3 linked regions of the Canis lupus familiaris genome follow. The protein of the gene in region 3 purifies or fractionates together with the protein of the main gene of each other region. This does not show direct contact. Links are inferred from orthologs where the notes say so. Each region holds a gene or a part of one and is shown on either strand. Other genes may lie near its edges.

Region 1 (3,077 bases), on a different chromosome or scaffold from region 3:
ACCACATTTTGTTTATCCATTCCTTTAGTTAATGGGCAATTGAGTTGTTTCCACTTTGAGCTACTGTGAGTAATGCTGCTATAAGCATTTGTGTACACATTTCTGCGTGTACCTATGCTTTCATTCTTTAGTGTATATACCTAGGAATGGAATTGCTAGATCATAGGGCTACATCACAGAAATATAGGTCACAGAAATATAAATTCCTGCCCAAGAGAGTTAAGATACATGTAAGTCTCTTAATATGTATCTCCAAGTTGCTTTTCAAAAAGCTTTGAATTAAGTTTTAACTCTATGATTGAAGATCTTACTGTTATTCATGGTCGGTTCTCAGGAGTAATGATGTCCCAAAATAACAGCCTAGGACAGTGTTGTCCAATAAAAATATCATACAACTCATTAGGTAATTTAAAATCTTCTAGTAGACACATTTTTTAAAAAAGTAATAAACAGGGGAGTGTGGGTGGTGTAGTCCGTTAAGCATCTATCTGACTCTTGATTTCAGCTCAGGTCATGATCTCAGAGACATGAAATTGAACCTCACCTCGGGTTCTGTGCTGAGCACCAAGTCTGCTTGGGTTTCTCTCTGCCTCTCCTTCTGCCTCTCCCCTTGCACACTCGCGTGCTCTCTCTCTTTCTCTCTCAAATAAGTCTTTAAAAAAGTAATAAGTGAAATTAATTTTAATAATATATTTTATTGAACTCAATATATCCAAAATATATCTTTTCAAACTATATATTTAAAAATTATTGCTAAGGTTTTTTTTCTTCTTTATTCACATTCAGTTTCTGAAATCTAACATGTGTTTTACACTTTACATCTCCATTTGTTTTTGTTTCTGGTTTGTTTTTGTTTTGTTTTGTTTTGAGATTGTATTTATTCATGAGAGACACAGAGAGGCAGAGACGCAGACTCCCCACAAGGAGCCAGATGCAGGATTCAATCCTGGAACCAGGGATCATGCCCTGAGACAAAGGCAGATGCTCAGCCTCTGAGCCACCCAGGTGTCCCTCACATCTCCATTTGAACTAGGCACATTTCCAGTGCTCAGTAGCCAAGTGTGGCTTAGTGGCTACTGTATGGAATAGCACAGGTCTAGGAATTTGGCTATCTTCTTTGGAAGGTGGCAGGCGGTTACTTTTAAAAACATATCCTCATTTATGTCCCTTTGTTACCTTACTCTTTTTAATAAAAATGAAGCAGAAACAAAATTTAACTGACTAAAAAAGCCTCCTAGATAAGAGAATGGCTTACTAAATACTGTTTTACTGCTTCATATTTCTACCTGTTGAGTAACAATGTATAATGGGTGAAAAAAAAGACAACTTTAAAAGATACACTCCTTTATTCCAGCTTACTTGAACAGATCCTGGGGCTAGTTTTGTTTCTAGAATCTACATTATGTTACTGAATGCTAAACACCAGTGCAATGTTGCTCCCGAACATCCTGCTCACCGGTACCCCGGGGGTTGGAAAAACCACACTAGGCAAAGAACTTGCATCGAGATCAGGATTGAAATACATTAATGTGGGTGATTTAGCTCAAGAAGTCTGATCAACAGATATCATGGAGTCTGGCAAGATGGCTTCTCCCAAGAGCATGCCGAAAGATGCACAGATGATGGCACAAATCCTGAAGGATATGGGGATTACAGAATATGAACCAAGAGTTATAAATCAGATGTTGGAGTTTGCGTTCCGATATGTGACCACAATCCTAGATGATGCAAAAATTTATTCAAGCCATGCTAAGAAGGCTACTGTTGATGCAGACGATGTGCGGCTTGCCATTCAGTGTCGTGCTGATCAGTCTTTTACCTCTCCTCCCCCAAGAGATTTTTTATTGGATATTGCAAGGCAAAGAAATCAAACTCCTTTGCCGTTAATCAAGCCATATTCAGGCCCCAGGCTGCCACCTGATAGATATTGCTTGACGGCTCCAAACTATAGACTTAAGTCTTTACAAAAAAAGGCATCAACTTCTGCGGGAAGAATAACAGTTCCACGGTTAAGTGTTGGTTCTGTTACTAGCCGACCAAGTACTCCCACTCTTGGTACACCAACCCCACAAACCATGTCAGTGTCAACTAAAGTAGGGACTCCCATGTCCCTCACAGGGCAGAGGTTTACAGTACAGATGCCCACATCACAGTCCCCAACTGTAAAAGCATCAATTCCTGCCACATCCGCAGTTCAGAATGTTCTGATTAATCCATCATTAATTGGGTCCAAAAACATTCTTATCACTACAAACATGGTGTCATCACAAAATACTTCCAATGAATCATCAAATGCATTGAAAAGAAAACGAGAAGATGATGATGATGACGATGATGATGACGATGATGACTATGATAATTTGTAATCTAGCCTTGATGCTGTAACCTGTAAACTTGGTCTTAAATCCATTGTACTGAGATTAAACGTGCATGCTGGGTATTTTGAAGTTGTGTTGTAGAAAACTTAAATGGTATTTAATGAGTAAATATAGTTATCCTTTCCTATTGAATGTTGGGTTTTCTTTAATAGGATTAGTAATGGTTATTCATTAGCCTTTAAGTGTGAAAAATAAAATTGTTGTTCATCAAAAAAAAAAACAAAAAACACCAGTGCAAACATTCTCTTAAATTAATAAAAATTTCTTTTGTTGAGTCTTTAATGATGAAATGAACAGGAAAGAAGAAAAGCAAGAAATAGATTTGACTGTGCTATACTGATGAAAACCATGTTTTTCAATTTATTCTCACAATAAAAAGTATTTGATCTGAAATCCTATATAATCCCAGGATGCAACAATCCTTCTCTGTTGTATGGCAACTTCCTGCCATGCATAATTATTTTCCAAAAGCGTATCAGGTCAGAAATGAAGCAGAGAATGGGGGAAAGAGTCCATAGTGATCTTAGGCAGATTTTATTTTACTAGTAGGAATCAGTTGGATAGTTATTACCACCTGGCACTGCTAATGAGTCTAGTTGGGAAAACAAAGCAGCAAAGCATTCCACAGCAGACTGCACCGTGGTCCAGTTCTGGGGAGTCTTTTGGGGTCTGTTGAGCATCTGAAGATACATTTGAAGG
Region 2 (3,665 bases), on a different chromosome or scaffold from region 3:
AGCTACATTCTCCCCTTCTCATTCAATATAACGACCTGTGACCCTTACATACCCAATTCTTGCTTGTCTGCCTCACCCTGATGGGCTGCATCCCCCTGTCCCCCCAGCCAGTTTCCCCAAATCCCCAAACACCTTTCTTCTCTGAGCCATAGGACCAGTCGTTGTCATTGATGTCATCATTATCCTCTTGGTCACTCTCTGACTTGTTCATATTGTTGCTATTGGCAATCCTACCAACGGAAGGGAAGAGAAAGGGTCAAGACAGCCACCTCTCTCTGCCCCCAACCACAGAGGCCAAGCACGAGCCACCCTCTGTGCCCCACCAATGCCCCTGGGGGACTACACCATGCCACAAGTTACAAGAGGTGGGACCAGCATCTCTGGTTCTAGCGGAGAGAGACGCCCTCACCGGCGGTTGGCGATGCGGCTGCTGTTCCGGCCCATTCCCAGGCACTTCTCCAGATGGGGAGCGAAGCGAGAGGCAGCAATACTACGGCTGCAATTGGGGCAGACACACTCCTTGCTCTTCCACTGGTTGAAAACCTGTCCAAAGATGTCCAACCCCGGCTGGTCCACGATCTCTGGGGACAGGAGAGGCGTGGCGATCAGGGCAGGCAGGGGACCCTCACCTCTTGTCTCCCGCCCATGGCCCCATGGCCTCTTGAAACCCCCTGCCTGGGCTCACAGGAGCCCCAGGTACTACGTCTGGTGCAGTTTCCAGAGGAGGAACTTGCAAGTATCCCCGGGACAGGGGCCGGATGGCTCTCCTTCAACCCTGAAGCTCACCAAAATCCTTCATGCTATCAGGGTCCGTGTCGTCCAGGAAGAAGTAGCCACACTTGACAGCCCGGTGTACCTCAAAGCAGAATCCCAAACAAGAATCCTCGACCAGGTCCGCGTATATCTCCTGAGCGATGGCCTGGGCCCAGGGGAGAACATCCACGGTCAGGAGTCTTGGCCCCCTGGACTGAGAGCAACTCTCACCAACCAAATCTGCCAACTCGCCCTGGCCAAAAATAATGCTTTCTTTGCCATTTTCCCCATCTTGACTTCGCATCCTTTCTTCTTCCGGAGCCTTGGGCCTTTTCAGCTGGCTATTCCCTTTAAGGAACCAGGCTGACTACCCAAATTCCTCTTTGGTGTGAACGCCAGATATAGCGACGTAGAGACATCAAGAGAAAGAACTAGAGGCACACGTGGGGGAGCCCTCACCTCTAGTTTGCTGTTATCCAGGCCAGACAAAGACATTTCCTCCATTTTCATTTGTAAACTCTTGTGGAGACGGCGCTCTGACTGCTCATAGCACAGCGGGCGGCAACACGGCTGCACACATGGGGGTGGGGGGGATGTTGGTGTGAGTCCAAGACACCTCTGGAGACTGCCACCTCCCCTCTGCACCCCACTGCCCAGAGCTTAATGCTGGCATCAGGATCTACCCTTCCCCAAGGCCTAGGCTCACTAAGTCTGGATGGTCCTTCAGGGCCTGAAACCCAAAGGCGGCCTAGTCCTTCCCAGGACTGAACTCAGGCCCTGGACTCTGCTACCAGTCCAAGTCTGAGTCCATAGGAGGCAGCAGCTCACCCCAGGTCCCCCAAACTCAAACCCCTCTTCCATACCCATGGTGCAATGCAGCAGGGGGAGGAGAAGGAACTCTAAGGCCTCAAAGCAAACCCACAGGGTGTGGCAAAGAACTGCACAGACTCCTAAATACCCCCCCCCCCCTTCCCTAGGCTCTCCTCAGAGTCACCTCTGCTTTCAGCCAGGATGTCCACTTGGGGGGGTACTGCTACCAGAAGTAGGAACAGCCCTAGAGCCCTACAACCTTCACCCCACTGTGTCTTCCCTTGAAATAAGCCTGTGACTACAGAAGGGGCACAGAGCCCACAGAAGCCTAGAGCTGAAGGAGCATTTCTAGCCATCATGAGCAGGAAGGAGGGGTAGAGCCCGGTGGGGATGGCATGCCGGGAGTGGGCACTCCCCTTACCTGTTCTTCTTTTTAGATAACCACCCTCCCTCCCTCAGGACCAGCCCGGAAGTCTCTCCAAGAGCCCCAAAGTCCAGGAATCCCCACCAAAGGATTCTGAAACAGCGCCCACAGTCCGGGGCCCCTCTTAACGGTGGGTACGAGTTTAAGGAGCTGCCGGCCTAGAGTGGGGTGGGGACTGACAAATGAGCCAGGGGCACCGGGGAGGGTAGGAGGCCGGGCCTCGGCTCTTCCCCCGTCCCTGCGGCACTGCTGCTGCATCATACCGACTGGGGGGAGGAGAGCCGAGCCGCCCGAGGCCGGCGCCGGTCCGGGACAGACCGACCCCTAGAGAGTGGGCAGAGTGGGACGCGTCCCGGCCCCTCTCCTTCCCCCCCGCCGACAGCCCCAGCCGGCCGGGGAGAGGAGTCCGGGAGGGTGTCTCTATTGTCCCGGGGGCTGGGGCCTGGCTCCCTAACAAAGGCCCCGCGCCCCCTCCCCGGCCGGCCCTGCCCCGCCCAGGGGGGACCCAGACAGGGGGAGAGCTGGGGGCCCCGGCCGGGCCGGGAAGCCGGGGGAAGCCGGGCGTTTCCGCGTCGGCCCGGGGGGAGGGGAAGGGGCGCTGACCCAGACCTGGGGGGAGGGGGCCCAAGCCCCGCCTCGGGCCCCGCCCCCCGCCCCCCGCAGGCCCCTCCCCCGTCCCCGTCTCCGTCCCGTACTCACCCCGCCCGGGGGGCCGCGCCGGGGCCCGGCGGCCTCTCAGGGCCGCGTCCTCCGGCGGCGGCGGCGGCGGCGGCTGCTCCGGAGCCCCATGTCCGTCGGTCCGTCCTCGCCTCTCCCCGGGGCCCAGGGCCCGGGGCCGGGGGGTCGGGCCGCCCCCCCGCCTCGCCGCCTCACCGGGCGGCCATGGCCCCTTCCCCTCCCTTCTCGTCCCGTCGCCGCCTCCTCCTCCTCACCTCACCCCGCCCGCGCGCAGTCCGCGCGCCGTCCGCGCGCCCCTCCCCCCGCCCCCCACTCCAGCCCGCCTCTCCCGGGCGGGGGGTGCGGCGCGAGCCCGGAGCGCGCGCGCGTGCCGCGACCGGAGGATGGATGGATGGAGCGAGCGAGAACGCGAGCGTGCGCGCGCGCGCCCCTCTCCCCCTCCCTCCGCGCGGGCGCGAGGCCAAGCGCGAGCGCGCTCCAACCTCCTCCTCTTCCTCCTCCCGCCCCTCTTCAACACCCCGCCCCCGCCCTCCCTTCCTCTTCCTTCTTTCGCTTTCGCGCGCCCAGCGACTGCTCGCGCCTGCTAGAAGGGCCCGAGCGCGTGCATCTGCCCCGCGGCCGCAGCTCGGCAGCATTTGCTCCAGGGGGCGGGGACCGGGCGGGGAGGAGGGGCGCCACGCCGCCGTCCAAAGTACCGGCGGACGGGGACGGGGGCGGGGAGATGGGCGGGGCCTTCGGCGGGCACCTCGGCCAATCGCCGTCTCGCCTCGGTCCGGCCGGCCCAATAGGATGGTGGTGGGTGGAGCGCCGTTCAAGGTGAGGTGCGCGGTGCGCTGGGGGCGGAGACGTTGTGCCGTCCCGGCCGGCTCCGGGGCGGGGGCAGCGGGTGGCGTCGAAAGAGAGCGCCGGCTCCAGCCGAGCCTGGGACGCCTTCCGGCCCAGGATCCCCCGCCCTTCCCTCGGGGCTCCCGGCTCTTCCCCCACACACACACCTCCTCCC
Region 3 (3,749 bases):
CAGGTGAACAAAACAGATGATTCGAATCTTATTGAGCTGACAAGTGAATCAAATAAACGATATAGGGCAGTCCCAGTGGCCTAGCAGTTTAGCGCCGCATTTGGCCTGGGATGTGACCCTGGAGACCCCGAATCGAGTCCCATGTCGGGCTCCCTGCATGGAGCCTGCTTCTCCCTCTGCCTGTGTCTCTGCCTCTCTGTGTGTCTGCTGTCATGAATAAATAAATAAAATCTTTTTTAAAAAATAAACGATATAAAATGTAATTTTAAACTTTGATAGGGGTTATGTAAGAAATTATAAGACATTTACTAGAATGTAAACTAATGTAGTTTAATGTTTACTCACGTCCTTAATACGGTCCTGAGAAGATTCCCTCAAAGTGCAATTTTTGGGTCTACAGATCTGTTTTTTTTTTTTTTTTAAGATTTTATTTATTTATTCATGACAGTCACACAGAGAGAGACACAGACAGAGGGAGAAGCAGGCTCCATGCAGGGAGCCCGACGTGGGACTCAATCCCGGGTCTCCAGGATCGCGCCCCGGGCCAAAGGCAGGTGCCAAACCGCTGCGCCTCCCAGGGATCCGATCTGCTTTATTTTTAAAAAACTAAACATACACCTAACTCTGAGAAATGAACAAGGGGTAGTGGAAGGGGAAGTGGGCGGGGGGTTGGGGTGATTGGGTGATGGGCACTGAGGGGGGCACTTGGCGGGATGAGCACTGGGTGTTATGCTATATGTTGGCAAATTGAACTTCAATTAAAAAAAAAACAACTAAAAAAAAAAACTAAAAAAACCATAGAGCTAAAAAATAAAATAAAAAAAACTAAAATAATAAACTACATCTTTTGGGGCAGCTTGAGGTTTAAAAATTTTTTTAAATTATCTTATAGGCTTTGGGGAATGAGAGAGGATACTAAAAACACACAAGGACTCTGGTTTCTTAAGTTCCCTTAGGGCATCGGGCATAGACTGATAAAATAAAAACTACATTTCCCAAGGAGCAGCGCGACACGTCACAAAGGAAGGACGGCGCATGCGCGGAAAGGTTCGCGCTGCGACTAGCTCGTAAAAGGGAAAAAGCGTGTGTAGTTCTCGACGTGCCGCGAATCTTCGAACGCAAGCGCGTTACGGTACTCAGACTTTGAAAAACATTCGAGGGACGCGCCCGCGGCTGCCGTCGTAATTTCCAGCTCGACGTGCCTATTCCGTGGCTTGGCAGGTGGGGATGGGTCGCAGTCTGGGGCCCCCGGGGAATGGCGGGAGCGGAGGGCCGGGGTCGCCCTCGGTACGTCCCCATTCCCGGGCCTCGCTGGGGCAACTCTCGGGGGGCGGTGCGCACGCGCCCTGGGCGGGGAGAGGCGGGGCTCGGGGAGGGGTGGGGCTGCGGCGGCGGTCTTTGGGCTCTGCGCATGCGCTGGCCGGCGCGGCGTGGAGGGGAAGCGGGCGTTCGCCGTGCGGGGCGCAGAAGCCGCAGAGGCGGCGGAGGCGGGGTCTTCAGCTCAGGTGCGAGAAGACGGCAGCGGGGTTGAGCCCCTTCTAACGAGACAACTTCATTCGCCCTCCGGAGATTTCCAGTTGCCTCCTCATCTCTCGGCGCCCGTTTGCAGCGTGAGGCTTCAGCCTTAGCTGGCGCCTCATCTCCAGGTCTCTTTCGAACCCGCTCTAGTCTAGGCCCCCAGCGCTCCACTAAAATAGCACTTGGTGGAAACCGCCAGTGACCTCTCGGTCGCCAAAGCTAGTGTTCAGTTCGTTCTCACCTCTGTAGCAATGGCTGATGCGCTTCATCACTGCCCTTTCTTGAAGCACTTCTTCGTTTGATTTGTAGGACATTCTCTTCAATTTTTTTTAAAGGTTTTATTTATTTATTCATGAGAATACACAGAGACGAGAGAGAGAGAGGCAGAGACACAGGCATAGGGAGAAGCAGGCTCCACGCAGGGAGCCCGATGTGGGACTCGATCCCCGGACTCCAGGATCACGCCCTGGGCTGAAGGCGGCGCTAAACCGCTGAGCCACCCGGGCTGCCCAATTTTTTTTTTTTTTTTTAATATTTTATGTATTCATGAGAAACACAGAGAGAGGCAGAGACCTAGGCAGAGGGAGAAGCAGGCTCCCTCCCTGCGGGAAGCCTGATGTGGGACTGGATCGCAGGACTCTGGGATCACGACCTGAGCCGAAGGCAGACACTGAGCCACCCAGGCCTCTTAAACATTCTCTTCTTTAGCTTCAGCTCTCTGGTTTCTCCTCTGCTGATTTCTTGTTCCTCGTCCCTATCTTTAATGGTTATACTCCCCCGCCCACGCCCTCATCCTAAGCTCTTCTTTGTGTCCACTTCCTAGGAGCTATCCATTTCAAAACTATTTTCTTTTTAAAAATATTTTCTTTATTTATTCTTGAGTGCTAGAGAGAGAGAGGTAGAGACAGGCAGAGTCTTGTAGGCTTCCTGCAAGGAGCCGGAGGCAGGACTCGGTTCTGGATCCCGGGATCATGCCATGAGCCGAAGACAGACGGTCAACCGCTGAGCCACCCAGGCGTCCCTATTTCAAGGCCTTAAATAGAAATACTATCTATTGTGCTCTCAAATGTCAATCTTCGACCCAGTGCTCTACCTCCAAGACCAGATTTTTATATTCAGCTTGCAAATGACATCTCAAAGTGTCGAGTCGGCATCTCAAACATGTCCAGAACTGAAATTTTGAGTTTTACCCCTCACATACCTTCACCACTTTCCCCAGTCTTCCCATTTTTCCAGTTGTTCAGGCCAACTCAGGCCAAATACTGATATATTCTTGGTGTTTTTTTGCAGCCTGGCCCTGCCCCCCCCCTTTTCCTTCTCCAGTGTATTAGTGTGTATGTGCCCTTAAGGCTTTGAAGTTTCACTACTGAGTGTTCTGTGGATATTCTCTTTGGCACTTGGTCATTTTTGCCTGAGAATTTGTGTTTTCCGTTCTTCAACATTACCTGTCATCGTTTATTCAAATTTATCCATGTATCCTGTTTTCTATGTCCTTTATAAGGTATTTACTTCACCTACAAATAAGTATATGGAACTACTTGTTTAATGTCTGTTCCTTTCTGGACTGTGAGTTTTGTAAGCAAGACAGGGACTCTTTGTCTCATTCACTGATGTATATTTCTCATTCCTAGCATAGAGTAGGTATTTGACAACTATTCATGAGTGCATTTATACAGGGAAGTATCTATAATATCAACTAATTGGGGTACCTGGGTGGCTCAGGTGGTTAAGCATCTGACTTTTGATCTCAACTCAGGTCTTAATCTTGCAGTCATAAGTTTGGGCCCTACATTGGGCATAGAGCTTACTTTTTAACCTGCCCCCCCCCAAAAAAAAAGGGGACAATTTTTTTTTTCCTGGGGTTGGAGGGAAGATAGTGAATAGCCCAACTTAAGAATTGTTGAGAGACTATTTTAAGAGATTTCCAGGATTCAGTTTGGTTCAGTAATGTATTCTGAAGACTTAGTAGGTGCTAGGCCCTGGGCTAGTTTCTGGGAATATAAAGACGAATACAACTGCATGTCAGTCTTCTAAGAGCTCGTGGTCTGCAGGAGAGATAAGTAAGTGAAACAGTCTCTCAATGTATGTGTGACAATGCAAGAACAGAAGTTTGTATACCATGCTTTGAAAGTTTTGACTGCCCTTGGCATCAGGGCAGATGAGTGGGGCCTGGGGCAGCCAGATCCCCCTGCCATTCTTTTCCAGCTGTGAGCAGCTTTGCCTTTTACCTG

The links. The genes of interacting proteins can lie anywhere in the genome.
Region 1: the proteins of SGF29 (region 3) and TAF9 purify together in Homo sapiens (affinity purification with mass spectrometry; 3 studies listed by BioGRID and IntAct, with this or other methods). This does not show direct contact. The link is inferred for Canis lupus familiaris from reciprocal best matches to the Homo sapiens genes SGF29 and TAF9.
Region 2: the proteins of SGF29 (region 3) and ATXN7L3 purify together in Homo sapiens (affinity purification with mass spectrometry; 8 studies listed by BioGRID and IntAct, counting the BioPlex papers as one, with this or other methods). This does not show direct contact. The link is inferred for Canis lupus familiaris from reciprocal best matches to the Homo sapiens genes SGF29 and ATXN7L3.

Annotation. Positions count from the first base shown.
Region 1 is NC_049257.1:19,523,817-19,526,893, reverse strand, and holds TAF9 (transcription initiation factor TFIID subunit 9), read left to right. Parts: upstream 1-1,440; 5' UTR 1,441-1,568; coding exon 1,569-2,366; 3' UTR 2,367-2,505; downstream 2,506-3,077. UniProt on the Homo sapiens protein: The TFIID basal transcription factor complex plays a major role in the initiation of RNA polymerase II (Pol II)-dependent transcription.
Region 2 is NC_049230.1:19,072,963-19,076,627, reverse strand, and holds the start of ATXN7L3 (ataxin-7-like protein 3), read right to left. Parts: upstream 2,873-3,665; 5' UTR 2,687-2,872; intron 2,200-2,686; exon of another isoform or gene 1,748-2,199; intron 1,324-1,747; 5' UTR 1,264-1,323; coding exon 1,213-1,263; intron 920-1,212; coding exon 787-919; intron 582-786; coding exon 410-581; intron 231-409; coding exon 133-230; intron 1-132. UniProt on the Homo sapiens protein: Component of the transcription regulatory histone acetylation (HAT) complex SAGA, a multiprotein complex that activates transcription by remodeling chromatin and mediating histone acetylation and deubiquitination.
Region 3 is NC_049227.1:18,372,848-18,376,596, reverse strand, and holds the start of SGF29 (SAGA-associated factor 29), read left to right. Parts: upstream 1-1,034; 5' UTR 1,035-1,221; exon of another isoform or gene 1,222-1,286; intron 1,287-1,451; exon of another isoform or gene 1,452-1,505; intron 1,506-1,511; exon of another isoform or gene 1,512-1,646; intron 1,647-3,749. UniProt on the Homo sapiens protein: Chromatin reader component of some histone acetyltransferase (HAT) SAGA-type complexes like the TFTC-HAT, ATAC or STAGA complexes.